Linked DNA regions of Rhinolophus ferrumequinum. The protein of the gene in region 2 purifies or fractionates together with the protein of the main gene of each other region. This does not show direct contact. Links are inferred from orthologs where the notes say so. Each region holds a gene or a part of one and is shown on either strand. Other genes may lie near its edges. The genes, in order: CDK7, RPA2, HLTF and ATRIP.

Region 1 (7,902 bases), on a different chromosome or scaffold from region 2:
TCCTCATTATATATATGCTCTGGCATCTCTGTCTAGTTTCACAGAAAAGTAGCCAGGGGGTTGTTCCAAACCTTTAGGGCTCTCAGAAGCTGAAACATAACTTAAGTCGATATTATCTTTAACTCAACAGAAACCCATACCTTGTGATTTTTAGTCAAGGTATGCCTACTATTTCTGGCTGCCTCAGGGGGTTAATGACTAGTAAGGGAAAGGGCTACGGCTTACAGGACATGCTATGAAGAAACCGAATAGAGTGCCGGGGCTACATATTAAATCAAAACCATACATTCAATCAGGAATCTTGGGTTTCACTGAGTCACCTTCAAGGAGTAAAAGTCTAGTCCAGAGAAACAGGATGGATTCTATCCTAATTTATGTTTAAAGCAAGCAAGCAAGCAAACAAAACCCACTAGGACTTTGAGACAACTGGTAAAACTCAATATGCCAACAGTTTGAAAAGATTATATCCTTCAGTGAAGTCAATACATTTCTAATGAGTGTCTACAAATGTACTAGCCATAGTTCTAAAGATAATTCGAATGGAAGTAAACAAACAATAAATGTATAAATAAGAGGATTTCAGATTTTGATAAATGCTATGAAGATAGAGAAATATGGCAAAGAACCCTAGGGAAGGATGGAGGCATGCCTCTTTTAGCTAGAGTGAGCAGCAAAAGCTTCTAGGTGGAGGAGATATTTGAGTGAAATCTAAATAAGGAATCAGCCATGCCAAGTTTTAGAGGAAAAATGTATTAGCCAGAAGGCAGAGCAAATGCAATGATCCTGGAATTGGAATGAATTTAAAGTGTTCAAGAAACAAAAAGGTCAGTTGGCTAGAATACAGCCTACCGGGAATAGAACTGAAAAGATAACTTTAGAAAGGGTTGGGAGATTTAAAAAAGAGAGAAATAAAAACTGTGGGGAGAATTAAGGGTTTTACAAAGGAGTAGCTATAGTGCTGGGTTACAGAACATAAAATGGAAAACGAGGTAAGTCAGGAAAAGTAAAGAAGATGATAATGGCAGGAATAATTGTGCCAAGGAAGAGAGGGTATTAGTGTTAAATGAATGAGGTAGATATGCTTCAAAGGAGTTAGGGATTTTGAAGAAGAAACAGATTCAAAGTAGCAACAGGAACAAAGTAGCAATACAAAGGTGGAAGTCCCCTACTTCACCAATAGGCCTTGAGATGTGAGAAAAACAGCCTTTCCTTGAGAGGGTTATTGATTTTTTTTTTTTTTTTTTTTTTAAGATTTTATTGGGGAAGGGGAACAGGACTTTATTGGGGAACATTGTGTACTTCCAGGACTTTCTCCAAGTCAAGTTATTGTCCTTTCAATCTTAGTTGTAGAGGGCGAAGTTCAGCACCAGGTCCAGTTGCTGTAGTTAGTTGCAGGGGGCAGAGACCACCATCCCCTGTGGGAGTCCAGCAGTTGAACTGGCAACCTTGTGGTTGAGAGCCCACTGGCCCATGTGGGAATCGAACCGGCAGCCTTTGGCTTTAGGAGCACAGAGTTCCAACCGCCTGAGCCACCGGGCTGGCCCGGGTTATTGATTTTTGTAGTATGGGAAAGGGCAATCAACCTGGCAGCAGGACTTAAATCCTAGCTTTAACAATTACTAACCATCTGTATCATCTTGAAAGTCACCTACCGTTTTTTCCCGAAAATAAGACCTTCAGCTCTAATGAGTCTTTGTGAGCAAAAATTAATATAAGACCCGGTATAAGACCGGGTATAATATAATACAATATAACATAATACTGGGTCTTACATTAATTTTTGCTCCAAAAGACGCGGTAGAGCTGATGGTCCGGCTAGGTCTTATTTTCGGGGAAACACAGTCCTCTCTCAGCCTCAGGTACCTGAAGTGTAAAACAGAGACATTTACTTTACCTATTTCCGCAAGGCTGTTTTGAGGGTTAAATGAAAAAATGTAGGTGAAAGTGCCTGGCACATAAAGTTAGCTAAATACGGCCTAAGTTTCTTGAATGAATGCAAATAAAAAAGCTACTTAAATCATTTTTAAAAATGCATGCACATCAATGTTGTTCATGTTGGTGAAAGCCTTTCATGATAAATCTGTACACAGAAAATACAGATATGACAGATACATAGAGTGGATGCAGGTGAGGCAGAAATAGGGAAGATCATGATATTAAATAGTTTGAGGACCCAGCAGATTGGCAGTACTCATCCCCTTTGCCAAAGACTGAGTCGAATAAAGCAAACATAACATACTGTTTCCTTTTCATTTCAATTAATAGAAAAGAATAGTTCAATTCGAGCTCCATTTTGGAACACAGGACACTAATAAATTATTCTTCCTATGAAAATGACATAAGTAATTCATTAGTAGAACATGGTCAAGATTAGTAAAACGGCCATCCACCAGCGCACACATCTACTTCTTAAGAGACTCAAATAAAAAAAACCAAACCCTGTAACTCACTTTCTTAATGGCGACTATTTGGTTGGTGTTCTTGTCTCTGGCCTTGTAAACCGTGGCAAACTGGAGAAAAAAGAGAAATAACGTAAGTTTGTGGCAATTTTTCGTGTTTGCCTTTTTACTTTAGATTTTGGGAAGCAAAGAACCCAGGGTTCTTGCAGCGGACTTTCGGCGGCTTGAAACGTACAGGCAGTTGTTCTGTCCACGTCCCGTTCCTCTCTATCATTCAGAAAGGAGAAGGCCGCTCAGGGCTCATCTCCAGGGTATGGAGGGGCAACAGCTGCCTCTGGGCAGCCTTGGCCAAAGAGAACGAGTAGCCAGGCCAGAGAAAACCTGTGAAGGTGTGAGGCGGCTCCGTGGTCTCCGCTCAGCACCGCCGAGTCCCCGATAGCCTCACCTGGCCCTCCCCGAGGAAGTCCAATTTTTCGTAACGCTTTGCTCGCGACTTCACGTCCACAGCCATCTGTCACGCGAATCCCGACTCCAGCTGAAAAGGGCGAGCGCCCAAAACAGCAGGAATTTAAAGCTACCTTAAAGCCTCCAACAGTCACTTCCGTTCACTAGGCTCCGACGCTTTGTTAGCTCCGCCCCCACTTCCGGGATAGGCGTGGCTGCTATTAAATAAGTCCCGCCCGAGCCCACCCAATGGAAGGCAGGGATCGTTGGCTTTTCCGCGCCGCTCCCCGCCCTGTCACGTGATCGCCCGTTGGTACCGGAAGTGGGGAGTTTTCGATGGTGGTTAACCTGTGTCACTTTTTTACCGTTTTAACTTATGTATTTTCTTCACTACCGGGGACCGGTCAGCGTTCTATGATGTTCTGAGTTCGGGATTTGATAGGTATGTATGAGTATGATAGGGTTGGTCCACCTGATTTCTCTGTCTGGTTCACGCTAAAGGGTTCTGTCGCACCGTTACTATGGACGCCTAGCCCGGCAATCTCAGGTTACTTAGAGCGCGCCCAGTTGTTAAGAGCTGCTCAAGAGGCATTCTTACTTAGTCTAGTCTCTTAGTCTAGTCTCTTTATGAAAAAGCACGCCTAGGCAAACAAAATCCAAGTCAACTTTAGAGTTTTGTGCTGTGGAACAGACTTCTGGTCATCAGTTTTTTACTCTGTAACGTGGAAATAATAATAGACCACATACATCATAGGCTGTTGTGAGGCTTAAATGAGACATGCAGAGTTTGGATATATAGTAAGTGCTTATTAAGTGTTAACAGTGATCAGTTCTCAAATTTTGATTCTCATAAGATTTGCATCCAAATCAAACACAATTCATTTATTCAGTATTTATTGATTGCTTACTATGTGCCACTTTGTTGTATACTGAGAAATCAGCAGGAAAAAAGAGATTCCTGCATTCAAACAAGAGTACATAACAAATAAGTAAAATGTTATGATCATAGCGATACGTGCTATAGAGATAATAAAGCAGGGGAAGAGAAGATACTAGGGTTTGCAGTTTTAAATAGGGTGAGCCAAGGAAGACATCACTGAAAAGCCACTGCAGAATTTTGAGCAAATGATATATGATATCATGTTTTAAAATGTTAACTCTGGCTGTTGTGAGAGACTGACTATACCATAGACTTGGGGGTAGGGGGGAGGCGAGGAAAAGCAAGAAAGCCACTTAAAGAATTATGGCAGTAATCAAGAGGGTTTTATTAGGGGGTACCAGTTTTGGCTTCTAGCCAATAGGATTTGCTGACAGACTGGATATGGGTTGGGGAGTTGGAAAGCATAATTCCAAGGTTTTGTGCTAGACCATTTGATGTTTGAGTCGAGATCCTGATTTTCAGAGGTATGTTGAAGAAGGCAAAAACAATACCAAGGCTCATAATTTAGTCAAGGTAATATAGTGTGAAGGTTGAGTCCTTGCTCTGGATCTAGATGATCTCCATTGACTACTGACCCAAGTATTAGATTTATGACTTGGGATAATTACACTTTGTCCCCAGCTTCCTTCTCGAATAGGACCTACTCATTGGGTTGCTGCAAGGCTTAAATGACTTCACACTTCAAAAACCCTTAGAAAAATGTCTGACAGTGCTCAATTTATGTTAGCTATTACATAATTATTCGTGGTTACCTTCCAGCTTTGTCACTACTTGGGTCTTTATCGAGCTCTGATATATTCACAAGCAAAATTCTTCTACATTGCAGAAAACACATTTTTACCACTTCTATCATAATTGTGGCAAGTCATACTTAACGATACATGTCTGACTTAGGCTAAAGTTCCTTCTGAAAGAGCACTGTAATAACTTAACCTCACTTGTAGTAGAAATAAGCTAAATAGTGAGCTAAATTTGATGGTACACCTGTGAGGCTTGAGGTTCCCAAGTGTGCCACGGCATATAAATTCATAATCACTATATTATACCATGCTGGTGAGAAGTAAATTCCTATATGGGGATACTTAAAATAGGGTAACAAAGGTGTTTAGGTGATTTTCTGGGTTCATTAAGTCATTGTACATATAAAATACCATTCAGCATCTGTATAGCATTTTAGTTTACAAAGCAATTTCACACACTGGTCGTAGCCAGCTTCCACGATGGCTGCAATTATTCTTGCTTTCTGGTATTAATGCACTTGTTTCCTCCCACAATTAAAGAGTCTAAGTGTGACCAATAGAATATGGCAGAAGTGAGTGTGTCTAACTTCTGAGTCTAGATCATAAAAGGCCTTGCTGCTTCTGCCTTGTACACTTAGATGATTTGCTTTGGGGGAAGTGAGCCATCATGTTATACATTCACCCAGGCAGCCCTATGGAGAGGCCTCCTGCCATAAACTAGCATCAGCTTGGCAGCCATGTTAGTGAGCCACCTGGGAGGTAGATCACCCAGCCCCAGTCAAGCCTACACATAAGTGCAGCCCCAGACAGCATCTGATTGCAACCTCACGAGACATACTGAGCAGAGGTGCCCAGCCAACCTGCCCAAGAATTCCTGATCCAGAGAAACCATAAGGTATTGTTGTCTTTAGCCACTGAGTTTTGGGTGATGTATTACAAAGTCATAGACAATATACTAATTTGATCCTATCTGTCACACACTGTATAGCACTGGAGAGGAAAACCTAAACTTGGACAAACAAAGCCATTTGTTAATGATTACGTACATTTAAGTGCTTAACCCAAAAATGAAAATACAGCCTACTTACTCTAAGCCAAGCCACAATTCTATGACACCATCCTCCTTGGGAGCTCATTCTGTGACAGCAATTTCCACTGGCATGCCCTTTTGCCATACCTAGACTTACAAATTCTGTAAAAATGATACATTTTTTCATTGTGAGTTTCATGGCAGCAGCTATAGTAAAGGTAGACCTCAGAAAGTTCCAGTATTGGGGTTTCTAAATGCTGGTCCACAGTATTACTCAAGCCACTATCACTTGAACCCACTGTTTCTGAAAGCAAAAAAATTGCTCTGGGCTTCCTTTTACTGAAATGCAAGAGCTAAGGAAAGGAAAGACTAGTGCTAGTTTTTAAGAAAATTTTCTAAATAAAATTTTTGAATAATAAAAATAAATCATGAATCACGTATTTTTCATGACTCACCAGAACAGCTTATTCCTAGCACCAATCCCCTATCTTATATTTGAGTAGGGCAACATTTATACTAGGTCACAAGAGAAGCAGACCAACTCTGAAATAGTAAAAAAAAGTAAAGATTAACCCAGACGCAAATGGGCAAAGTACTCAAAATGGGCAAAATAGACTCAGTAATTCTACTTGTCTATTGCTCATGAGCTACCCTAATTATTAGGGATGACTTCTTTAAAGCATATTCTAGAAATCATTAAAGGTATAGAAGAGAATTTATTTAGCTTTTTGAGGCTTTTCTTTCACAATAATATATGCCGTTGGCACAGGAAGACCCTTTTAAAGTTTCATAAATTGCCGTAACAAGGCTAACTAGTTAGGTTGATTTTATGAGACTTTCAGACAACAGGTTTGAGAAAGTTAATGGTTATCAGGATTTTCATACATGATCATAATCAAAACAGTACAATAAACTAAAGAACAAGACTTCTTAACACCCCTAAAACAATAAATTGCAATTTTCAGTCAAACATTTATTCCTATGCTATTTTCACTTTGATCTCTTATTTTCCATTTTATACTCTGACATGAATATAGGTTACAAATAATCTTTTGTGTTAACTTCCCAGTCTTAATACCACAAGGTCACTGGTTTTACCTTGGCTATATTTTTATCATTTAGAGTAGGATATGCTTACTAAAAGCCAGTTATACTCCAGTAACTTTGTGAACGAAAAAATGTTAAGAATTAAGAACAAATAATGGAGTCATTATTTCACTGATCCTCATGTAATTTCAGGAAAATCACTTTTCAAAAGCAGCAATTCTGCCTGATAAATTCTTTCCATGTCTAAACAGAAACTGAAAGAAAATGAAATTATGCTAAACCTATGATAGTTTACTAGACATTGTGTGCTTTTAATAGTTCAACAACTGGTAATACTTGATAATCAAGAGTAAATTAATAGGTTAATATTTAAAAATGTGTACTTTAATAAGTATAAAGTATATAAACAATTAGGTAAGCTTGTGGAGAAGCTGACCAACATACATAAATTAGGAGATACAAGTGTCTATCTAAATTTTCTATATTTCTTTTTTTTCTTTTACAGAATATTTATTAAAGTTGTTTAATGTACAATTTCTCATTTGTCATTTTGGAAATCCTTTATTGTAAAGACTATTCTTTTGTCTGATGACAAACAGCAGCCACATTGTCAGTGATTATTCTGGACCTCCACGCTGAAAGGAAAAACAATAAAACAGTAAGATTAGGGGTTAAATTTACAGAAGAAATGTTTTCATGGCCACTATACAAATTTACATTATTTTAAGCAAATGATTTTTAGTTTTTAAAAACAATTTTGGATTTTTTCATTGCTTTTGTGCACTCACATCAATGTTATAAACAATTTCAGATCTGGAAGGGACTCACGGTTGACCTAGATCAGTGGTCCTCAAATTTCTTGCCCTCAAAAGTCCTTTACACTCTGAAAAATTATTGAGGACCCTAATGAGCTTTTTTCATGTGATTACATCTATTGCTGTTTACCATATTATATTTCTACACATATAGTCCTTCATGCACATTTACTGAGGGCATAGATGTGGTTTACTTCTCATCGTCCTGGCCTACAAGACCATCTGTGTCTTAGCTATGGACACACCGTGACAATGGGAAAAGCATGTAAATGCGCATATGAAGTTCCAGAAGCCAAAAATGTTAAGATGTATTGCACAATAGGATGATAATGACCAAAACATACTTGGATAAATTCAATTTCTTCTTGAGATACAAGTTTCCTTCTGTATTTCTGAGGTAATGTTTTTATTATTTCTGCAGTGTCTGGTGGACCCTGATGCATCAGCCAATCTGGTGATTTACTTCCCTTAGAATGCTGTGAAATTG
Region 2 (7,476 bases):
TCGACTATATTTTTCAATTTAACTTTATGGTACTTTATAGGTGAAGTTATATGCTATATTAGTATTTATAGATTTAAAATTTGCTAAAGTCCCAGATTTAGCTCTCAGAATCTATATTTTGTTTTCATCTATCACAACTGAGATTTTTATTGTATCTTCAGCATAAGAAAGCTAAGAACCATGATGGTAACAGCAGCAAGACATGGGCTTTGGAGCCAGACAGTACTATAGACCTGTGTTCAAATCCCAGCTTCACGGCCCAGGACATACCATCACCTACCTCCTCTGTAAAATGAGGATATCTACCTTTCAAGTTATAAATGAAACATATACATAAAAGTGCTAATACCAATCTCTACACAGGTGCAAAAAATATTATTACTCCTCAGGTAAAAAAGTTACATATGGGTAATTATTGAGGTGTCAGTAATACCTTCAAATTCATCTCAAGTTACAGTTATTTGTTTTTTTTTAAATGAGCACCTATTATGTGCCAGGAACCGATTGAAAAGAGCTCCTGGTTTGTTCCAAAGAGATTCGGCACAAGTTACATTTAATTTTTAAAAAATTATTTTGTAGCTGCCTATGAACTACTACTGTGAAGTACTGTACTCTGAAGTACTGTAGGAACCTACCATTTTTACAGGTAAAACATCAGAAACTTCAGAATTCAATCAAATATAACAGGTTTATAGTCAGTAGGAAACATTTAAATAGGACATTTATCTTTTACTGTGCAAAAAGCACTAGATTTTAAACACAGAAAGACCTGAGTTTGAGTCTCCAGCTTATAACTGTCATCATTCTCTGAAAAGCTGTCTTAGTACATAGCCCAAGCTAGGGGTCCTGAGATAAAAATTCTAACAAATGGAATGAAGAAAAATAGTGAAGCTTAGGGAAAAAAGATGAGAATTATCTATCTTCTGTTCTCATCTTCACAGCCTCAAAGAAGACTATAGTCTCCTCTGGTCTTCCCAGGAAAAAGAAAGCTACAACAGAGAAGCAGCTGCTTACCAGATTTTGGATTTGCTCAGCGCCCTGTGGGCACTGTCTGGTTCCAGTTACTTACTATGTAAGCTTAGGGAATCTCAATCTCCCTGAGCCTCTCTGTTGTACAATGGAGGAAACAATACCTTATTGGGTTATATGAAATAATTTATATGAAAAGTATAAAGCAATATCCAAATGTATGAGAATTATCAGTGGATTCTTTCCCAACTATACCTACCCCTGAATTAACAGTTTATGTAAAAGCTTATCAACCTGTACACAAAACACAGAACCTGCTAATACTGAATCTTAACACATCAGAATGACACCTAAAGAGAAGCCAAATTAATCCTGTATTTAAAGAATGAAATCAACAGTTGTTAATTGCAAACTCTTTTCTGAAAGAGTAAATAGGACCGTCCTGGTGGCTCAGGTGGTTGGAGTGCCCTGCTCCAAACACCAAGATCACCAGTTTAATTCCTACATGGGCCAGTGAGCTGCGCCCTCTACAGCTAAGATTGTGAACAACAGCTCTCCCTGGAGACAGCTCTCCCTGCAGCTGGGCTGCTGTGAGCAGCCAGAGGTGGGTGTAAGCTGCTGTGAGCTACTGTGTGCTGCCATGAGCAGCCAGTGGCCAGCATGAGTGACCAGCAGCCAGAGTGAGTGACTGGTGGCCAACGAGAGCTGCTGTGAGTGGCTCAGCCCGGGGAGCGCCAGGCTCATAATACCAGCATGGGCCAGGGAGCTGTGTCCTTCACAACTAGAACTAGAAAACTACGGCTTGAACCGGAGTGTGTGCGTGTGGGGAGGCGGAAGAAAGGGGGGGGGAGAGTAAATAACAAGCATTTGGACAGCTTTTTACAGAATACTTTCTTATACATTAGCTTATTTATCAATTCTCAGAACCACCCTGTGACATAAGTAATACTAGTACCATTATCAGATGAAAAAAACCCAAGGACCAACAAAACCAAGGGTTCATGTTGCTACACTAAACTCACATTGCCAGTTAAAAGGCAAAGGTGATTCCTGACATTATGTATTCTGGCTCCAATGCTCAGGTTCACCTCTGGCTCTGGCACCTCCCCCAACTCTGACCCCCCCCAGCTTTCTTTGCTAAATTGTTGCGATTCTCATCCTCCACCCCAGGCATCATTACTATTCCACATCTTGGTCACAAATAGTACCTAGGACCATTTATTGAAAGGGACTTGGGGCAAGCACTTTATATATAATATTAAGTCTCGCAACAACCTTGTAAAGCATGTATTATCAATCCCATGTAGTAGGTGCAAAACTGACTTCCAAGAAAGTTAAGAAATTTGTCCAATGATACCCTGCAAGTAGTGGTAGAGAGCATAGATCTATATATGACTTGACTTCAAAGACCATGCTCTTTCCACCACATTAAATCACCTCACTACGTTTAATTAAAAAACGACTTTGGAAAACATAGAACATAAATTAGGCTATTAATACAAGTTCAGTTTTTCTACAAAACTGATTCATTAGCTATCTTGGTAAAATTTCAAAATAAAGCCAAGGAAACAATAGCGGATGCAACATTAGGGGAGATTCCTATTTCAAACTTACAGCATTTAATTATAAGACTCGATAAGATAGTAATAGATAATTATCGGATCAGCTCAGGTTTAATACCCTTCCTTCGCCGCAGAAATGTTCTCCCATGGATGAGTTATGAGCTTTAGGACAGATAAAATAAAATACTCTTTCAACTTACTGATTTCTTTTCTGCCTGAGAAGGTGTCGGCGATCCAAAGCCCCCAGCGGACTGTGTGTAGCCGCCGGCTCCCCCAAAGGTAGAGCTGCCATAGCTTTCATATCCACCTGGTTTTAAATAACAGTAGTATTAGTATCTGGGCTGCTTTCCAAGCTCCTGAAAAACCCACGGGTCCCCTGAGACCTCAATCCCCGCACCCCAAACAGTCCCAGCATCTTCCTAATCTTCCCGACCACCTTTCCCAGGCCCCCAAACGGCCCCACCTCTGGCTCCAGCACCTCCCCCAACTCTCCTCCCTCCCGCCGCCACATGCCTCTCCGACCCCCCAGCCCTCTTTGCTAAATTGTTGCGATTCTCATCCTCCGCCCCACTCATCATTACTATTCCACATCATGGTCACAATTTCTTCGAAAAAGGCCCAGAAAGCTCAGGTCGGCTGGCTTCGCCGGACGCCTCAGAATCTTACTGCGGCCCCAGCGCTGTATCTACTTTTCGCTGGCGCCACAGACACCTTCCCGCGAATGACGGAGCCAATCAGTGTCCAGAAGTCTTCTTGCTTCAGCCAATCAAAGCTCGCTAATATTACGCTTTTTCCGTTCTTCGCTGGCCATGTTACTGAATACAGGCACTACGCTCCCAGTAGGGCCAGAAGCCTTCACGGCCATGTTGACTAAGGGCAAAACACTTCGCGCAAGCGGAAGCAAGGATCCTTGGATGCTGATGAGGCAGTATCTCAAAAAAACAACCAATCCAACAATACTTCCTCATCTCAGGACCATATAATCCCACCCCCATCAATAAGCGGCATCTTACGTCACTTTATTCGGGGGTTTCCCGCCAAATTTTCAAGACGCCTTGGTCTAAAACGTCATAGTACAATTCCTGGTTCGATGTCTCCGCCTGGCGGTCGCCCGGGATTTGCGCACACGGGTAATTCACAGTACTACGTAGTTTCGCAGCACCTCGTGGGATTGCTTATTCTTTAACGTAAAGAGTCAAGTTCTCTTCTTGTATTGCCACCCCGTGGCCCTGATTCTTCCCAGTGAAGGTATAAGAAATCTACATTCTTTTCCCCACGATGGCCTTTCAAAAACTGAGGACTGGGTTCATCCCACCTGTCCTGACTCTAATCTAGCTCCGCATCCTGGGTTGCTTCAACTATTCTTCATATAATGCGGTTGTGCTCCTCCTATGGAGAGTAGAACATGTCTGTTAGTTCCTTGCTGTAAATACTAATAGGGTGTTAGACATACTCTTCTCATTTATTTAAAATTATTTGATGTCTCTTTTGTTCTAAGCTCTGTACTGGCCAATGGTTAAGGTAGACCGGGTCCCTGGGCTTCTGGACTGTTTTATTTTTTATTTATTAAAACTTCAGTCACTGTCTTAAGCATTTTATATTTATTAATTCAGTCCTGTGAAGTAGGTTAGTGTATTGTCCCCATTTTACAGTTAAGGAAACTGAGGTATAGAAAGTCTAAGTTTTGGGAGCCTGCATTCAAGCCCAGGAAGTCTGATTTTGTCAACCAGTGTCGTTATTATACCTTTTTGAACATCCTAAACAAACTCAGATGACAACTGGGGTCAGGCAGGAAAACTGCTAATGTAGTGGGTTGGATAATAGACGACAATTTAAAAAACTTTTTTTTCTCCACAGTAAGAAAAATAACCACACAAGCATAATGGTAAATAGCAACTGACATAAAGACTATGGATCTAGTGTTGCCAGATCATCTATTTGTTTTAGCAGATGTCAGAAATTTGAATTTTTGTGTAAAATTTTCTGTGTTTTTAAACAAATAAGTGTTTTTAAACAAATCAACTATTAAAAAAACATTATGTAGGCCAAAGAAAAGATATCTGTGGGCCAGATGTTACTTTGTAAATTCTGTAAGCCTCCAAATCATTGCTGAGGAATAAAACCTGAGGTATACCAAAAAGACATTCTTATATTAAGCCTAAGGTGATTGAAACTTACATACTCTGACAAGTAAGGGCATATTTATGATATATAGGATAAAATGTTTGAAATTAAGATTATTCTGGGACATTCAAGATGTGTATTCACTTGAGTCAATTGGCCTTATTTGGGGTTTAACCAGTTATAACTTCAACTTCAACTGTGAAGACCATACATTTAAAAATAAAATGAAATTAAAATGTCTTAAAGTATAACAGAATACAAACCATCAAAGAGTTTTGCACATCTTTTCAAGAGCTTGAAAAACTGATAAATTGAGGGCTCAGTTCTCAATCAGTGCTAAAATAAAAATAAAATAAAAATTAAATATAAATATATAATAAATTATATATTATATTATATATAATATATAATTTTTATATAATAAAAATATAAAAATAAAATAAAAATAAAATAAAAAACTCGTGTGTGTGTTTGTGTGTGTGTGTGTTAGTGAATTCATCTCTCAAGGTTTAGTTTTGTCAAGTTGCAAGCTTCCTGTCACATAGCAATTTCCAAGAAGTCTTCCATTTCCCTCTTTAGGTAGGCTACAATCAGGGAAATCCACAGCAAGACTGAGAAATGGAGAAATCATCCTTTAAAAACAATCTGGTGGGGCGGACGGGTGGCTCAGTTGGTTAGAGCATGAGCTCTGGGCAATGGGGCTGCCGGTTCGATTCCCACAGGGGCCAGCAAGCTGTGCCCTTCGCAACTAGAATGAAGTCAATGAGCTGCCGCTCCGCTCCCAGGTGGCCAGATAGCTCGGTTGGGGTGCAGGCTCTCAATCACAAGGTTGCCAGTTCGACTCCCACAAGGGATGGTGGGCTGCGCCCCCCTGCAACTAACAACAGCAACTGGATGCAGCTGAACTGGGCCCTCCACAACTAAGATTGAAAGGACAACAAATTGACTTGGAAAAGTCCTGGAAGTACACACTGTTCCCCAATAAAGTCCTGTTAAAAACAAAAAGAAAACCAAAAAACCAATCTGGTGACACACACCCATTAGGATGGCCATAATTACATAGAAATAGAAAACACCAGGTTGTCTCTTGCTCGGAGGCCACCTCTGCTCTGCTTTTGGAGTAGATCTTTATTGAATAAAGATACTTTTGCTTTTTAAAAAAATAGATAACAGCAAATATTGGTGAGGATGTGGAGAAATTGGAACCCTGTGCACTGTTAGAATGTAAAATGGTGCAGCGACTATGGAAAACAGTATGGCAATTCCTCAAACAATAGAAATAGAATCACCATATGATCCAGCAGCATATATCCCAAAGATGGAAACAGGGACTCAAAATAGATGCTTGTATACCCACGTTCATGGCAGCTTTATTCAAAATAGACGCTTATACACCCATGTTCATGGCAGAATTAGACAAAAGGTGGAAGCAACCCAAGTATCCATTGACACATGAATGGATAAACAAAATGTGGGATGGACATACAATGGAATTATTCAGCCTTAAAAAAGAAGGAAATTCTAATACATGCTACAATATAGATAAACCTTGAAGATATGCAAATGAAATAAGCCAGTCATAAGAGGACAAATATTATATGATTCCATTTATATGAGGTACCTTAAAATAGTCAAATTTAGGGCCGGCCCGGTGGCTCAGGCGGTTAGAGCTCCATGCTCCTAACTCGGAAGGCTGCCGGTTCGATACCCACATGGGCCAGTGGGCTCTCAACCACAAGGTTGCCAGTTTGATTCCTCGACTCCCTCAAGGGATGGTGGGCAGCGCCCCCTGCAACTAAGATTGAACACGGCACCTTGAGCTGAGCTGCCGCTGAGCTCCTGGATGGCTCAGTTGGTTGGAGCGCATCCTCTCAACCACAAGGTTGCGGGTTCAACTCCTGCAAGGGATGGTGGGCTGTGCCCCCTGCAACTAGCAGCGGCAACTGGACCTGGAGCTGAGCTGCGTCCTCCACAACTAAGACTGAAAGGACAACAACTTGAAGCTGAATGGCACCCTCCACAACTAAGATTGAAAGGACAACAACTTGACTTGGAAAACAGGCCTGGAAGTATACACTGTTCCCCAATAAAGTCCTGTTCCCCTTCCCCAATAAAAATCTTAAAAAAAAAAAAAAGTCAAGTTTACAGGGACAGAAAGTAGAACAGCGTAGAACAACGGTTGCCAGATGCTGGAGAGAGGGAAGAATAGGGAGTTATTGTTTAATGGACACAGAGTTTCTGTTTGGGAAGGACCGTTCTGGAGACAGATAGTGGTCATGGTTGCCCAACAACATGAATGTAGCTAATGCCATTGAACTGTACACTTAAAAATGGTTAAAACGGTAAAATATTATTTGTATTTTAACACAATGAAAAAAATTTTTTAACCACTTTGGTGTTTACTTAATACATGCCAGAATGCATTATCTCTTCTAAAAGCTTAATATACATTATCTCCCAAAGTTTTTGACTGCCATTTTAACCTCCAAGGTCAATTTGCCTCCACTTTATAAACACACACATTTTAATCAGAACTGTCCCAACATTGATGAAATTTCATTTATATTGGATTCCCTATTCAATTTTTTTGTACAGTGAGAGTTAGCCATTTCTAATTTTTCCCATTTTAAATTTTGCTGAAATCATCTTTATGTAGATCAATCTTTTCCTGGGCAAACTATACAATGAGGGTTTAATTCATCACCCAAATTTTATCCATACTAATTTTTACTGATTTTTCACATCTGCCACTGTAGTTTTATGGATCCTCATTATTTCTATCAAGTACAATTTGATTCAGGGGATTTTTTTGCAGTTTTCA
Region 3 (8,472 bases), on a different chromosome or scaffold from region 2:
AACACTAAGACATACCTTAGTGAAACTATTGGACTTCCAATATAAGGAAAAATATCTTTTAGTTATCCAGGTAAAAAAACTGCAATTCATTTATATAGAAAATAAATCATATTGCCATCAGAATTCCACCAGCAACACTTTATGCAACATCAAGATATCATGACAGAAAATATGGGTCAAGGATCTTATATTCAGCCAAACATCACAAGTATAAACACCCCAAGTTTATACTCAAGTATAAACATCACAACTACGAATATACAAAATGTCAGGAAATATTGTTCCTTCCTAAAGAATCTCCTAAACAACACATTTCAACACCTTTCCAATCACAAAATGATCATAGAAGCTCCGAAATAAAAAATATATATACATAGAAGAATGAAAGTATAGACAAATCCAGATCATGGAATTCTTTCCCAAAGAATCTCCTGCAGAACATGCTTCGGACAACCAAAAAATGATTTGAGTAACTTCAACATAAGTAAATATGAGGGAATAAAAGAAGTGGCATATCTAGAACCTTCCACAGAACAGATGTAGTTTCTTCCACAAATCGACATGAAACAAAGGGAGGGTGGGATTGACTTACGAGCCATAACAATCAAAGATAATATATGAACTTTATTTTGATTCAGATTTGAAAAAAGGAACTATAAAAATACATTTTTAAATAATCAAGAAAATTGATTATGGGTTAGTTATTAGATGTAATAAGAAATTACTATTAATTTTGTTAAGTATGAAAATGACATGTAAGAAAATGAATTTTTTGAGATGCATACTGAATTATGAGTATAAAGTGACACAGTTGGGATTTTTAGTACAAAAGTAAAAAAGTGATGAAACAAATGTGCACAAGATTTGTTAACTGCTGAATCTGAATCATGGGTATATTTAGTTCATTGTATTATTCTACTTTTATGCATGTTTGATATTCTTCATAATCAATTTAAAAAGTAAAACTAAGGGTATATCATCTAGATAACAGAGGTAGACTAGACAACCATAATAAAGACAACTACTAGCAGAAAAAATCATATATTCTCTAGCTCTGTCTGTCCATCTCTCTCATGTAGACACAATGCAGAGACTAGAGATAAGGATAGACACAGTAAGAAAAACTGGGATACAAACAGTCTTACTTCAAAGAAAAAAGACCTAAAATTAGACAATTCCCTTATCTAATAGGAGTTGACATTCCTAACTTAAAAATATTAAAGTGTAGAAATGTGCTGAGGGGCAGAACAGGAGAAAGCAATGGACTGACTTGGCAGTCATTTTGCTAATGTACAACACAGTATCTGTGCTTTTTGGGAAAGTTATTTATCCTTCCTGAGCTTCAGTTCTTCAGTTATAGGAATGGGATAATGTCCTATCTACCTCAGAGTCAATGTAGTGATCAAATGAGACCACATGGAAAAAACTGCTTTGTATATTGTAAGTGTGTATAAATGTAAAAGAATATTAGTCATTAGATATTTGTTATCTCTGCCCAGATATATTTCAATTACTTCGAGTAAAAAAATTAACTGCACATATATCACCTAATTCTTATTTTCTAGGTTAATACCATAAATACACCACATTTTAACTATCTAATGTTATACTCACTACTCCTGTGTAATAGCGTAGTCCAACTACATGACCTCTCAAAGTTCCAAATAAAATTGAGTCTAGCTCTTCATCACTAGTTAGGAAGTCGTCTGGAGGGATAATATCTTGGAATTCAAAACGGGGAAAGAAAGTTGGATATGAGAGGCGTGGAAAATTTCCCTGGACTCCGTACTGGACAGTCTGCAAGTACTTCCAAACAGGATCTCTATCAAAACAAACAAACAATAAAAAAATGTAACCAAGTATTTCTCAAAGACCGTACCATATTTATAGGCTAATTGTTTTCTCACACTTTATTTCAACAAATTAAATCTTATGTGGGAACTGCTGTATAAGATTAATAGAGAGTTACTCTGGTTAAAGCAGGGATTGGAGGGAGGGAGAGGAGGAGGGAAGAAGGGAGTTTTCCGGGAATCCTACCTGTTCAGCAATGCCTCTTCTACCCACGGGTATTCAAAATGAAAACCCCAATAAGTGTTCACAATCTCTTTCCTAGTGATCATCTATTTAAATGGAAATGAATATGATGTTCGTAACATTAATTATATGCCAAAATGTCAATAACTGAGCTAGAAGAGACTTACACATACAGAACTATTATCATATGTGAAGCCATTTCCATCCTTACAGATAATACATCCAACATCCATTACTTTAATTCCTTCCGAAGACAACCCTTATTTTATTCAGGTATTCAAACCATGCCATCATGGAAGGTTGACTCCAACCTTCCCACTCCGGTAGGTTTAAGGGTAATCACAATCCCTTTATGGATAATTGTTTCAGGAACGGGCATGTGAAACAATTTGGATACTGAAAAGTAAGGGGTAGTCCCACTGCGGGGGGGTGTCTAGGAAGTTTCTCCTAAGAACAGATAGAAGGTATTTCCCTTGCGTCTTCCTTGTATGTCGAGCATACATACCTCTTCTGGCTCCTCTGCAAATATATATTTGCACGTCTGTGCATGCACATAAACAGCACTACTTGGGGACAAGGGATGTCTTACTCGGCCCTTTATTCGGAGCACAATGCCTAGTGCACAGTGGGTATCTACTAGGTGTCTCGTGGAATAAGCACAAGTCAAGATGCCTAAGGAGTGGAGCTTTGCGCCCCAAGCCCTTCTCCCCACCCCCAGCCCTTGACAGAGATTTCTCTAAGGCCCTAGCACCCGACTCGCCTGAGGATTCTCCCCATGCCAACCAAGATTATGCCTTTATTTCTCCCGCGGACATATGAGCCACCACCAAAACGAATACAAGCTGCACAAATCGCACGGGGAACGAGAAAGGTACGCAGGGAAGGTCAGGTTCATCTGGGGACGCCTCCAGGCCATTACCCGTTGCGCCCCACCCCCTCCACCCACATCACCTCTTGAACATCCAGGACATGGCGCTGCGTGGGTGACAAGGAGAACGCTTGGGCGTCCGGGATCGTTCTCGAGCCGCCTTGATACGTCTCCTTCCAGGGCCTGCAGCGGAGAAGCCAGAGACACCTTGGGAGCGCGGGTGGAAGAGAGCGCTGCTGGAAGGTAAGACACCGCGAGTCTAGTCAGACGTCGACGCCGTCTCCTTCTAGCAACAATCTGAGAGCTCACTGACGCTTTCTGACTGGCACTGGGAACGTTCAATCACGAGGAGGGGCCTGTGAACACGAACCAATCAGGGCACGGAAGGGAGGGCAACTCCGCCCCGCGCAGCGATTCAAAGACTATGGGCTGGGTCCCGGCTGCTGGGGCGGGTCCATCCGGGTTCTTCCCCGCCCCCAAGGCGGGCGCGCGGGAAAGCCACGCGGCCCTAGCAACCTCACTGCGGTGCCGGTGGTATCGGATTGATTCTCTGTCTCAAAAGAGGAAGATGACTCTCCTTTCCGCTGTTTCCCTCAAGCCCTAAGCCTCAGACCCATTCTTCAGGCCCTATCTCGTCCTACCTCTAATTTTCTTCTTATCTGATATTACATGTAATAGGGTCTTCCACTGAATAAACTCTGCCATTCACGAACCTTGGAGGTACCAGCCACATACTTTCACTTCCTGTGCTTAACCCCGTGTAGTTTGCCTTCAAAATATTCATTTTAAACCCCGCTGATGAATCTATGAGACACACCGAGTTCATAAGCGCTTAATTAGAATTTAGACTTACGGAGTACCCCCTCCATCTCTTTTTTTTTTAAGGAAAATATTCGTTTCTAGTAGAGAAAAGCCACAAAATGCGATGACAGCGCGACTGACTTTGTTGGTGACGGGGCGGGACCAGCTTCCCCTGAGGCATGTGGCTGCCCCACCGAGGTGGGCAGAAGCTTGTTTTCCTGGGGAACTGTAGGGGCGCCCTGAGGCGCTTGGGGTCCGCCTTTTGAGAGTCTGAGGTGACTCAGGAGAACTGGGCTTTGGGTGGGTTGGCAGGGCCTGTCTCTGAGCCTTCGTAGCCAAGCAGAGGCTGCTGCTGACTCACCAGGCCTTACACTGGTGCAGCAGCAGCACCAGCCTTGGAAGCTGGTGGTGGCGGTGGCGTGGAACTGCACTTAGGGCTTGGGGTCACTGGCAAAAGAGAATTGCAGAATCAGAGAGGAAATGTATTTGTGAAAGTGATCATTTTGTCACTTGCCTTTCATAGAGGGGTCCAATTTACACTTCTGTCAGAGTATGAGCGGTGGTCTATAAAACAGGTTTTCAAGAGGCATTTGTTCATTATCTTAAACTGGCATGATCTGTAAACATGAACCAGCAGTGGAATGAGAAATCACATTTGCAGCAATTTATTCATTTCGTTAAACAGAAGGAAGATGAAGACAGTGATATTTCAAATTATTTTAATTATTTTACTTTCCTCTGGAAGTATTAATGAGGCAAAGGACAATATAGTTCAATGTTTTGTGTGCCAGATTCCAAATAAGTTCTTGGAAAATATGCCAGAAAATACCCAGATTGAAAATGTTTTGTGTGTAAAATTAATAAAGCCAGGCTAATTAGACTGAAAGATAAAATTCCAAATGTGAAAATACATGCAAACCTCTTTCAAGACTTCAGACCTATGTCCCACTATTAAACAATTAAAAATGTCCCATTATTAAAGAATAAAGGTTGAATGACATAAAAATTTGCTATTTAAAGTCAACATTTTTGTCCATCTTGTCACTATTTTACATCTCAAACATAGCTGTTGAACACTCCTTTTCACATAATCATTTATTTTTTTAGATTGAAGTACAATTTGTAATAGTTTGATTAAAATGTTATAACAGTTACAAATTCCAAACTATCACACTAGATAACATTTGTAACAAAAAAAGAATGGGAACTGTGTGTGGCTTGTGCATTGGCTGATGTTTAAGGACTTGGAGAACGGCACCAAGAGAATGGTGAGGAAGATAATCGCCAGATTACATCGAAATGTATGGTCTATGGTAGAGTTTGTATTTTATTTTAAATGCAGCAGAAAGCCATTGACTATTTTAAGCAGGAGAATGACAATCTGAATTAGACTTTTGAAAACTCACTCTGGTAGCTCTGTGGAGAATGGATTATAGGGAACAAAAACAGAAACAGAAAGACCGCTTAGTTGATAATTAGGAAATGATTGTGTCCAGGTAAGAGATGATGGTGGCTTGGAATGGAGAGGTGATAAAACTAAGAGAGCCAATAGGATCTACTGATGGAATTGTATATGGGTGCTGACTATGGGGAAGGTATAAAAAAATTCCTCTAGCTACCCACCTCCCAGTTCCAAATACTCTTTCTCATCCTCCCCTATTTTATACAAATTAATCATGTTACTCCCCTATTTTATGCTGTGAACATGAAATTTTAAAATGGTATATGTGACTCTTTATAATCTGTCCCCTACCTCCCACTCCTATCACTTCACAATCCACCCTGCCTATAATGGCCTCCACTAATGTCTCTAAAAATTATGAATATTTTCATATATAACCATAAGGCCATTTTCACACCTAACAAAATTAATAATAAATTAATCTTTGGTGTCTTCTAATAGCTAGTTCATAATTAAATTTTCACAGTTGTCTCAAAAAATATTCTTTTATAGTTTGTTAACAAAATAGAATGTTGAAGTCCTTGGCAAATAAAAAAAAAAAAAACCACCTAAGAACCTGAATTTCTGAAAGTGTGACTTCAATACAAAAACTTCCAAGTTTATGTCCTAAATCATAGATTCTAGAAGAATATATGATGCTATAAGGTCGTTTGTTTGGTTGCTTCCTTCACCCAAAAGGAGACAGAGACAAAGTTCAATGGAGGAGAATTTTCACAAAGTAAATCTCTACGTGGATCTTAGGAAAAGAGACTGGAATGCCAACACCTTGGGCTGAGTGCCCCAAAGGAGGGATGATAAACAGACAGCCTAGCAAAGTTTCTGGAGATCTCTTAAGAAAAGAGAACTGTGCCTCGTTTTTCAGGGAGTATCCTCAAAATTCTGCAGATCTTAGAGAGACCCTCAGAGTCCAGAAACGTGCTAGGGCAGTAAAGGAATAAAGGACAGTGTGGTGACTGTATTAAGGGATCCAAGGGTAGCCTTTCAAAATCCTACAAAAGTCCCCAGAGAGTCTCCAGCTCTGTGAAAGCTGGAGGCTTTCATAATTCATAGTTCTAGTGAAGGGAGGTTCTAGAAGGGAGGTTGGTACCCTGAGATGAACAGAGTCCAAATATAAGCCCCCTAAAGGGTAAGAAAAAAGGGACTGAATTTGAAACCCGAATTTAATTGACTTTAAATCTTAAAATGGTGGGATATAGAACCAAAATCAACAAAGGAACATAACAAACAAACAGAAATAAAAACTCATATAGACACAGACAACAGTTTAGTGGTTAATAAATATGGAAGGGTAAGGGTGGGTGGTAGAAGAGAGAAAAGGGGGTCAAATATATGTTGATGTAAGGAGAACTGACTCTGGGTGTTGAACACACGATGCAACATATAGATGATGTATTATAAAAATGTACACTTCAAACCTATATAATTTTACTAACCAATGTCACCCCCAATAAATAAAATAAATAAATAAATAAAAATAAAAATAAAGCTTAAAATGAGTGAACTACCTGGAAAGTGATTATATTAAGTTACCTCCCACTAGGCAAACTGAAGCCTTAAGACAAATTAGGTTCAATAAAGAAATATAAAGTTTTATCTTTGCAAATGGAATTGGTGATTGAAATTAATACATGCTATACCTCCATATACACATATATCTGAATTTACACCTAGATATTTATAGCAGATATTTTTAGCTAGCCAAATTAGGGGATTTTCATTTTCTTCTTTTTGCTTATATGCACGTAAAATGTTCTCTACATTGAACAGTTTTGCATTTTGCTGTAAGAAAATAGTAGAAGATAAAATAAATTATAGTAAAGAAATGATGTTTTCCAATTTTCTGTTTTCAATTAATTTTAGACTTATAGAAAAGTTGCAAATGTAGTTTGCAAAAATTTCCCTCATTTTTTTTATCCCATTTATTTTAACACCATACATAATCATAGTACAATTACCAAACTTAGGAAATTAACATTGGTATGATATTATTTCTGAACCATTTTTAAAAATAATCAAAGAAGACAAGGCAAAGGACATGACAGAAAATAAAATCTTTTGTGACTTATTTACAATTGGATTTTCTTACACTTAATCAGGGGCAGATTCCTGGATACAACCACAGCTGATAGGACAAAGGAAGTAATGTAAAATAAATGCCAAATAAAATTCTTCTTAAATAACGTAATGACTATCAGTGCCTGGTTTGTAGTAAGCAATCAATAAATGTTGTTATCATTCCTATTATTGTTGTAACAGTTAGTATCTAATGAGTCTTCTAACACTATACAAGGAATACAGTTGATTGAGGCTCATTTCCTGGTGCTCATCAACAGGGTTACTCCTAAATACCAGAATAACATTGTTTCCAGAAGCTAGTCATTTTCCCAGGTACATGTCCTTGAAACAAACTGAATTGTTTCAACTCCCACTCTGAGAATTCTGTGGTGTTCCAGATTACACAGGCCTTTCCCAGGAGATAGTCCTTTCTTCCTCCTTTAGTCCTTGGCTCACTAAGTGTTCCTCCCATGTGGCAGAAGACCAGAGTTGCTGAAGCATCTGCCCCTTCCTTTGCTTCCTGCCGAGGAGCCGTTTCCCAGCTGCAGGAAAGTGTTTCTCTGGGCCATGGAATTATTTACGGTTCTTGACATGACTGTGGTCAAGGCTCTTTTTGTTTTAATAAATATGAATGGATTGGTGAATATTTTTCTGCCTCCTTTATGGCTAGAAAATTTAAAGGCAAAATTGCAACTCTATACTTTTGATACTATCAGAACTACTATTTCTTTTTTTTTTTCATGTGGGTAGCTATATTGTATTGGCAATTCAGTTTTTAGTCATCACAACTTACGAAACCATTGCAGCCTATAAGCATACCCATGCTAACCTTAAAATTAAGGTTTAACTTACCATTTCAAATAGTCCTCTAGAAAGTTTTTTTAAAAAAAAAACTGCAAAAAACCAAACACATTTCTCAAATTTGAAGGAAAAAAAAAGCATACAAATAGATTTTTAGAGGAATTTAATCTCTTGATCTAATAGAAGTTTCAAGAGACTTAAATTCATAAACAGATTGAAGTTTTAGGATCAGAACATAATATCCTGCTTGAATTGCTAATTTTATAATATTTGCAAATAAAATTTCCATTTCTCAAATACTTTGGGATAAGATATTAGATCAAAGAGAAGTAAGATTAGATGTACCCCCAAATGAACATGACAGCAATGATGACCTAGGTCAGCAAGCTAAAGGCAACACAGCTGGCTGTAAATATTCAGAAAATGGAGCTCGTCAGGAAACATCAAGAGT
Region 4 (8,301 bases), on a different chromosome or scaffold from region 2:
CTGAAGAAAAGTACATACATGCAATGAGCTGATACCAGAAAGTACTTAAGACAAACAACTGTTGAAATCTTCTGGGAAGATTTACATGAAACTTTGGCCATTACGTCTAAAGGAACTCAGTGAGCAGGCAAAGCTGGTGTCCATAACGATCAAAACAAATGCTCTGGGTCACCTTTTTGGAGAATTCTTTTTCTTTGTCACTGAGTGCTTGAGTTTTCTCCTGCTCAAGAAGGAAATGTGATCTTCTCTGTTCCTCTAAAGTGGATTCAGTCTGATGCAGTGAGTCCCGTAAAATTTTAATTTCTCCATTTTTAATGAGGACTTCTTCTTCCATTGCCTTCATCTGTAAATCCCAAATCAATCTTGTGAAAAGTTTGTAAGGGAAAATTATATATGTACTTGTTTCAACATGTACCTGGAGAGATGGAAAAAGCCCATGTAAAACACGTCCTACAGACCAGTGAGTGCTCAAAATATATCCATACCAGCCAGTCATCACCGTGGTCTGCTAGGCTCCTTCGTGGGACAGCAGTTATTCAGCAAGACAGCTTAATGACACACTTGTCACTCATGCAAGCAGGTTCTGTAGGCTTTATAGGTCTTAAATAATCTGGGTCACACACTTTACAGAACTAAAATTCCACATTATGCTCCTGGTTTACCCAGTGACCCAGTTTGGTTATATGAAGGATGTCTGCTTTTTTGCAAAACTGCTAATGCATAGCAACCATTATGACGCTGTATCCTTTATATAAGAAATATGCTATAAATTTATCTTGGTGCTAAAACAGAAAGTTTGTATCTCTTTTTGGAACTGGTGTACAGTGTTTCCTTTCCTGCCTTGGCTGTTAGTAATCTCAGGATTTAGTTTCTTTCCGCCTCAATTTTCTGGCTTTCTTTCCCCAGCCTCCCCCTCCTCCCATTTCATGGGGATGAATCTGGACTCTAGTTTTAAAAGTTTTATATATTTTATTGTACAATGTATGCATAAGTGAATGAATTAGTTATAAAAACCACAAGTTAAGTCACTTACCTTTTCTTTAAGTTCTTTGTATTGTGCTTGAAGTAACTCCAATTCAAAATTAGCTTTAACTGGAACACTTTCTCTGTTTTTCACTGCAGGATTTTTTGACATTCCATCTAATCTGGGAACCTTATAAACACCTATAAAAAAACGTTCCCACATACTTTTCAGGACCCAACATTTTCCCACTTTTACCAGACAATGCTGAAAAGAATCCCTCTTGAAGGCAAATTAGAGAAAGATGTAGTAAGCAATATAGGAACTTTTCTAATCTAAGAACATGATTCAAACTCATAAATGATCCTTATAAAATAATAGATCCTGCCACCCTCTCCCCATACCCCACCCAATTTTAAGAGTCTCATCTAAAGGCTGAAAGGCACTGTGGGAATCTCCCTAGTCAGAACTCAGCGATTTACATTCAGCAATATTTACTGAGCACCTGTAATATGCCAGGCATGATTTAGTCTCTAAAGGTACAATGGTGAGCAAAATGGATTATCTTTTTGCTTGTGGAGCTTACAGGACATTAAAAAAATAATCACGCATGTATAAATGTAAAATTACAACTGTGATGAGAACTGCAGAGAACAAATACAGGAAAGCCTATGATAGGGGAATTTGATCCAACTGAATGATTGGAAGGCTAAGGAAGTGATGATGATTGAACCAAAAGCTGAAGAACAAGTAGGAATTAACCAGATGAGTGGGGATGGGGAATAGATGGAAAGAACACTCAATATACAAGAAACAGCAATGTGCAAAGCTTCTGTATTATAAAGAAGCAGGGAGAATTCAAGGAACGAAAGGTCAGGGTGGCTAAAACCCAGAGAGAAAGAGGGGAAGTGACAGACTATGCTGGGCCTTGCAGGCCACATAAGGGTTTTGATCTTTATACTAGAAACCATGGGAAGTCATTAAAGGGCTTTCAGTAGGGATGCTCATGCTTATCTGTGTGAGACACACTGATCTTTTCAAAACAAATCACTCTGGCTGTGGTGGGAAGTCTGATTTGTAGGGACTCAAGACTGGACCTGGGAAGACAATTTAGCAGACTATTGTCCAGGGGAGGGGTGATGGTAACAGATCAGGGAGATGGTAGAGACGATGCAAAGAGAATGGATTCCAAGATAGATTAAGAAAGTAAAGTTAGAGGGTTTGGAAAGGAATTCGACGTATAGTCAAGGAAAGGGAGCTGTCGCCTTGTGCCACTTGATGGGGAGTGGTGCTAGTCAGTGTCATGTGAAACATTTGGTCATCAACGGGTGTTTTCTGAATGTCTGCTTTTCCAGGCACCATGCTGGAGATGCTGGAGGATGAGTGGGTTTCCAGGAAACAATTGTGTGGAATTTAAGAAGCCTGTGAGACATCCAAGTACAGATGCAAGTTGCTCTCAAGAACTTTCTCTTTTTGTGAGCTCCACAAGATGTCACTCATTCTCCAACTAGAATGCAAGCTCCATGAAGGAAGGGACTTTAGTCTGTTGCTCATTGCTAAGTGTGCTGCCATTTTTAAGGTTTGGGCACCTGGTACAATTTATTGGTTGTATAAAATAATAAGTTTCTTTCCTCTCTTGCCTCTGCCAGACCCTCTTAAGCTCATGAGGCTCAAGAGGGACAGCGGTCTTCATTAGATCTAAAACCTTCCCAGACTGCCACAAGAATGGGTCTCCCTGCGAAGGTAGTGATGGTTCTGATGGTGGGAGTCCTAAGCAGGATCTCTGCTTAGAACTAAGAACCTGGTGACCCTAACTTCAAAAACTAAAGTAAAATGTTAACCTAACTTTCTATATTTCAAATCGGTTGTTTGACATTCCTGATCCATCTCTCCCCAAATCAGAACACAACCGCTGCTTAAATCAAGCTGTTCCTATATTTTTAAAAGGTGAAGAGGCGGTGTGGGTGCAAGACAGCGGTCGCCGTGGGGTTCCGAAGCCACAGCCCTCAAGGGTGTCTGGCAAAGTCTGCACCACCCTCGGGAAAGAGCCCTGGGCGCACTCACTGGACACGTCCCGAGCAGCGGACGGGCATTGGCTCAGGGCCTGTGACGCGAGGGTGTCGAGTTCCTCCAGGTCGTCCGCGGTGAAATCCCCGTGCGGACCGAACGGATCTTCGGGGTCCAGGGCTGCGGCCACGGGGAAGCCGCGGGCCCGCTTGCTCGGAGGATGCCCGGTGCTGGGCAGCGGGCCAGAGCTAGGTGTCGGGGGCCCGCTCCGCCTCCTGCTGCCCGGCGCGGCGGTTCCAGCCATGCCTGCTGCCGGCAAGTGTCTGAAGGGATCGAGCGCGGCCTGGTTGCCGCAAAGCCGAAGAACTGGACAAACTCCCGCGCGCCGCCGCTCGCCTCAGGCGCTGGGGCCACGCCCCCGTGTCCACGGGCCAATCAGCTGCCAGCTGGCGGGCGCGGAGCAATGACACACATCCGAGCGCGCCGCGGTGCTCCGCTGAGTACTTACCCTTCTCGGGCGCCTCGGGCCTCTCTGTACTCGCTGCTGGGACTCAGTAGGTCGGCTCCCGGAGCTCTGTGCGGCCTATCTAAGCTATAGCAGTGCGGGTTCCGGCTCACCAGCCCCACCGTGCGAGTGGCTGTGCGCCTCCTTCCCGGCATATCGTGGAGTACACGCCGGAGGAGTTCGCCATGGCATTCACACGTGCGCATGTGAATCGAGGCAGCCAGCCTTTAGGGGTTTGGTCTCTGTAACCTCGTTGTCCTCGGTCGGACCCACCCCTCACATACTCCAGGTTCTCTTGGGGAGAAGTCCGGGAGAGTGGGGTTGGCAGAAGAGTATGAATAGAACTGTTGTGAGCAGACATGTTTGAGAACAGTAGATGTTTTGAATGTGTGCATTTGAGGTAGGTGTGGGAAGAAAGTCTAAGGAAGGGTGATCCTGAAAAGGTGCCTGTGTAACTCCTCAGTCCGTTAACGTTATTCATTCATTTGTCTGAGAGCACTTGAGTGTTTTACCCAAGTGCTGGTAACATAGAAATGAATGAGGTTCATGTCAAGGAAGGCCCTTGGGCTGTCCTACAGGTTGAGTGGGAGTTATCAGAGTGAGCAAGGAGGCTGGCCCACAAGACTAGGCAGACAAGCATACAATACCAAAATGGAGGCCATACAAGTGCCCGTTAGGCGTTATCTATGGCAGAGAACTTAAGGCTTCAGAGGAGCAAAGATTCAAAGTGGGCTTGAGTGCCTGGCAAGATTTTATTGGGCAGCAGTGGTGTGCAGGACAGTTAACGGGAACAGGGTGTTGGAGAGTAACCGGCAAGACTTTCATCCTTTCATGCTCAATGCCAAACAGCCTGTGAATGTCCTATGAATATTTGTGAAAGCAGTAAGTGAAAAGGAGATGGTTGTCAGCATCCAGAGGGTCTTGAATATCTGAGTTTAGATGTTTTTTAAAAAATTATTTCAGTTGCCGTTGACATTCAATGTAATTTTAATTTCAGGTGTACTGAGTTATTTAAAGTAATTGCTAGTTACCTTCAGATAGTTTCCCAAATATCGAATCCTTAAGTCTTAATTGCTGCAGGTGTCTGGTCCTGTAGAGATAGGACTGCACTTGATTTGTCAGGAGACTTTAGGTTTCACTCTCAGGGGCAGTGTGCTGGCTCCCAAGGTTGTTCTCAGTAGCACAGGGCTGGGTGCCAGCTGGCAAGGTCCCACAGGGAATGCATCAAGTCCAAAGATGCTGCTGGCTGTGCCACTTTCCAGGAGAGGACCAAAGCAGGCTTTTGCTCTTTTTCCCCCATTAATATCAAGTACATTAGTCTTAAAACAGGCTTCAATCTGTCAAAACCTTTTCCAGTTTTGACTTAGCAAAATCTGAGTAATTCTAGAGTCCTTTTTAAGAACATTCTCAAAGAAAGCTTAGCACTACCGTTTCCCCGAAAATAAGACCTAGCCGGACAATCAGCTCTAATACGTCTTTTGGAGCAAAAATTAAGACCCGGTCTTATTTTACTATAAGTAATTATATATAAGACCTGGTCTCATAGTAAAATAAGACCAGGTCTTATATTAATTTTTGCTCCAAAAAGATGCATTATTGCTGATTGTCCGGCTAGGTCTTATTTTCGGGGCAACACGGTATTAGTATTATTCCCATAGTTGTATCAAGGGTTCTGGAGGGGAAATCCAAATATTTATGCCTCTGAATTGTTTCAATACATATGCATTTGGCACACATGAATGGCCTCTGTCATCTAGGAATTTACTCCTCCCAGAGTCAAGGGTGATAACAAATGTCAGGAGAGAAAAATGAAAACAGGGTAAGAGACACTGGGACTGCTCCTTTATAGTGGTCAGGGAAAAGCTCACTATTATGATGTTTCATTTTTCTAAAGGGAGGGAGGGACTTTCCAGTATCCAGAAGAGTGACAGGTATAAAGAGTTGGTGACAGCCCAATAAGGCAGGAGCTTGCTTGGAATGTAGGCCATTGCGGCTCAAGATGGATCAAGGGACACAATTGTAGATACCAAAGGGCAGGGAGTGGTGTTCAGGTCCCTTAGGACCTCACTGGTCATTGTAGGGACTCTGGCTTTTGCTCTAAGAAGTCATTGAAGAATTCTGAGCCAAGGAGAAAATGAAGTATAACTTCACTGTTTAGCAAGATCACTTTGGGTCTTGAGTGAAGGTTAGACTGTAGGGGAGCAAGGGTAGGAGCAGGAAGAGAAATTTGGGTGTGCCTGCAGTAATCCAGGTGAGAGATTTTAGGGTTACAATTGGGGGGGTATTGTAGTAAGTATGAAGGGATCAGATTTAATTTTCCTGATGAGTTGAATGTGGGGTATAAGACACAAGAACCTAGGAAGGATATTTCTGGAGTCCTAGTGGAAATGCAGACCTGGGGACTTCAGAGTAAGCTTGGTTCTTCAAGACTTTCAGGAATCTCCCTTCCCGTTTTCTTGCCTTTACAATGCATATCGTGTGGACTTGTCCTGCTCCCCTCCCACTATGGAGAAGTTTCTTGACAACAGTAACTGTTTGCTGGTACAAGCCCAGCCTGCAAACAGCAGACTCCTTACATGAACAGATGAACTACCCCATTAAAACAAATGGCAACGTGGACGTCTTAACAGAGAAAGATGGGTTTTCTTTCCAAAGGGCAAATTCTTCCACTAACCTTATGTAAAGCTCCGTCGGGTATACAACTACACAAAAACGACAGCCATTTCAAATTAGTTGGTTTAATTCCAGGCAGTACAGAATTCGGGATAGAACAAAGACTGAAGAACACATTTAGGATTCTGGGTTGGGTTTCCTCTGACCTCACAGCTAAGGTTGAAATGGCTGAGTGAGAAGAACTAAACAGATGAGCCACTGCATTATTATTATTATTTTTTACAAAAGTTTATTCTTAAATGTACAACAGACTCCAAAACAACACTTCATTCTAGCTACAGGTGGCAACAGGTCTTATGGCAGGGAATCCAAATGTTAAGACTGGAATGGAATTAAGGATCATCATTGCCCCAGGCACAAGGAACAGCTCACTTTTTGCCAGATTTCTTAATTCCACCTGTGGCTGCAAAGAAAAAAAAGTTTCAGCTAGGGAAAAATACAGTTCCTATGGTAGAAGCCCCAGGGCCTGATATGGAAGCCTTAAGCTCTCTACTGAGCTTTCTTTTTAACATAAGTATATACAGAGCTTTACCAATATTTTCTATTCTGGGCAAAAGTAGAATGAGGATGAGGCAGGGGCACAAGAAATGGCTGCACACTGGTCTGGATCTGCACTGTGTTGTGTACTTCAGACTGGCTTATTTAATCCTCATCCCCTATCGACCCATTTTACAGATAATGAAGTCTTAGTGTTAAGGTGTTCAGTCATAAACTGGTATGTGATGAAGCCAGGATTCCAGCCTGGGTAGTCTGACTTCCAAGTCCATATTCTTAACTGCGACATCACACCACAGTACCTTCCATATTATGTTTCTGGAGTCTGGTTTACTCAATACCTTTATTTCACCCAATTTACAAATGACTATATAATTTGGCACACAGTAGGTAACTGAAAAAATAGTTGTAGAATTAAGTATGCCTAATAGAGGAATGAAGATCCTAAAGGGCTGTGACGAAATAAACCTTAAAAAAAAAATCAGATGACGTTCAGTGGAAACAAGTCGTATAGGATTTCACTGAGGACTGACCTCCTATACACAACCGGGAAAGTGCAAGATACCTCAGCACATCATTCCAGAACGGAATCTCAATTGCTAGAATTCCCAGGGCCGTGTGGATAAATAATGAATCAAACCCACTGAGAAAAGAGGTCTTGGGAAGCCCTGGATGACACTCCCATCACCCCAGCCTCCATCATCCCCCCTTGTAGCTCACAGTGATTCAATAGGGGATACATAACTGGGGGGGACTAATCACTAGTTTGATGAATGTGAACAGCATTTACAAAACACAGAAAACACCGGGACTAATGGGCTTGAAAAATCTTTTGGTATGTAATCAATTTCTCTTACATAAAGGAAAAGAAGAGGCGGAACGGTGGGGTATGAAGTTTAAAAAAAGCATATAGCATAATAGCTTGCCAAGAAACCTGGACATTTTAGTCTAGGCGCATCCAGAAAAGACTCAAGATGCAAAAGTATTCACTAGCGTTAACAATAGTAGTTAAAAAGCAATGAAATATGACTTTGGGGCAAGAAATTGTGGAGGATATTTGGAAACCCAACTGTATGAAATATGCCTAAGATATATGAGTTTCTGAGTTTCCATTTCTGCCTTTTCCCCAAGGAAGGGAAGCCCAGACTGCCTGGGCGGCAGACTTCGTTTCCAGACCCGGTCTAGCTCCCGTCCCTTGCCGCTGCGGCGAATCCAAGCCTGGCCACGGCCATCAGCGGCGACGGACACCAAGAACGGAGACCTGGCCACTCACCAACCAGGCCGGAAACGGACCTCCCCGGGCCGCGTCCACAGCTGCTCAGAACATTCGTAGGGCCTGGGCTCTGCCTAGCCCTCACTTACCCAGGGGGCCCTTCCCCGCGGCCTTCGCTTTTAACTCCTCGAGTTTCTTCTGCTCCTCTTTTTGCTTCTGCTTGAATGCCTTCTCATCCTAGGGAGAAGCAGAGCGGGTTCACTCCAGGCGGGCTTCCCAGCCCCTCCGCGCCCGCCCACGCCTCCGCGCCGCCCTTACCTCGTCCATCTCCTTGGCCTGCTTCTTGGGCTGCTTCAGGGGCTTCTTCTTGCCACCTATGGGCGACATGATCACGCTCAGCCCGGCCCCCACCGGGTCCCGTCACTTCGCCCGGCCACCCCCTCACAC

The links.
Region 1: the proteins of RPA2 (region 2) and CDK7 purify together in Homo sapiens (affinity purification with mass spectrometry; 3 studies listed by BioGRID and IntAct, with this or other methods). This does not show direct contact. The link is inferred for Rhinolophus ferrumequinum from reciprocal best matches to the Homo sapiens genes RPA2 and CDK7.
Region 3: the proteins of RPA2 (region 2) and HLTF purify together in Homo sapiens (affinity purification with mass spectrometry, with the first as the bait; 3 studies listed by BioGRID). This does not show direct contact. The link is inferred for Rhinolophus ferrumequinum from reciprocal best matches to the Homo sapiens genes RPA2 and HLTF.
Region 4: the proteins of RPA2 (region 2) and ATRIP purify together in Homo sapiens (affinity purification with western blotting; 5 studies listed by BioGRID, with this or other methods). This does not show direct contact. The link is inferred for Rhinolophus ferrumequinum from reciprocal best matches to the Homo sapiens genes RPA2 and ATRIP.

Annotation. Positions count from the first base shown.
Region 1 is NC_046290.1:44,754,209-44,762,110, reverse strand, and holds the start of CDK7 (cyclin-dependent kinase 7), read right to left. Parts: upstream 3,028-7,902; 5' UTR 2,911-3,027; coding exon 2,845-2,910; intron 2,793-2,844; exon of another isoform or gene 2,674-2,792; coding exon of another isoform or gene 2,635-2,673; intron 2,511-2,634; coding exon 2,451-2,510; intron 1-2,450. Other genes in the region: MRPS36 (alpha-ketoglutarate dehydrogenase component 4), read right to left, coding at 7,218-7,235, 7,760-7,902. UniProt on the Homo sapiens protein: Serine/threonine kinase involved in cell cycle control and in RNA polymerase II-mediated RNA transcription. Cyclin-dependent kinases (CDKs) are activated by the binding to a cyclin and mediate the progression through the cell cycle.
Region 2 is NC_046292.1:19,147,774-19,155,249, forward strand, and holds the start of RPA2 (replication protein A 32 kDa subunit), read right to left. Parts: upstream 3,333-7,476; 5' UTR 3,126-3,332; coding exon 3,107-3,125; intron 2,842-3,106; coding exon 2,732-2,841; intron 1-2,731. UniProt on the Homo sapiens protein: As part of the heterotrimeric replication protein A complex (RPA/RP-A), binds and stabilizes single-stranded DNA intermediates that form during DNA replication or upon DNA stress.
Region 3 is NC_046285.1:8,264,023-8,272,494, forward strand, and holds the start of HLTF (helicase-like transcription factor), read right to left. Parts: upstream 3,199-8,472; 5' UTR 3,006-3,198; coding exon 2,986-3,005; intron 1,823-2,985; coding exon 1,615-1,822; intron 1-1,614. UniProt on the Homo sapiens protein: Has both helicase and E3 ubiquitin ligase activities. Possesses intrinsic ATP-dependent nucleosome-remodeling activity; This activity may be required for transcriptional activation or repression of specific target promoters.
Region 4 is NC_046300.1:7,639,423-7,647,723, forward strand, and holds the start of ATRIP (ATR-interacting protein), read right to left. Parts: upstream 3,383-8,301; 5' UTR 3,273-3,382; coding exon 3,026-3,272; intron 1,165-3,025; coding exon 1,034-1,164; intron 416-1,033; coding exon 173-415; intron 1-172. UniProt on the Homo sapiens protein: Required for checkpoint signaling after DNA damage. Required for ATR expression, possibly by stabilizing the protein.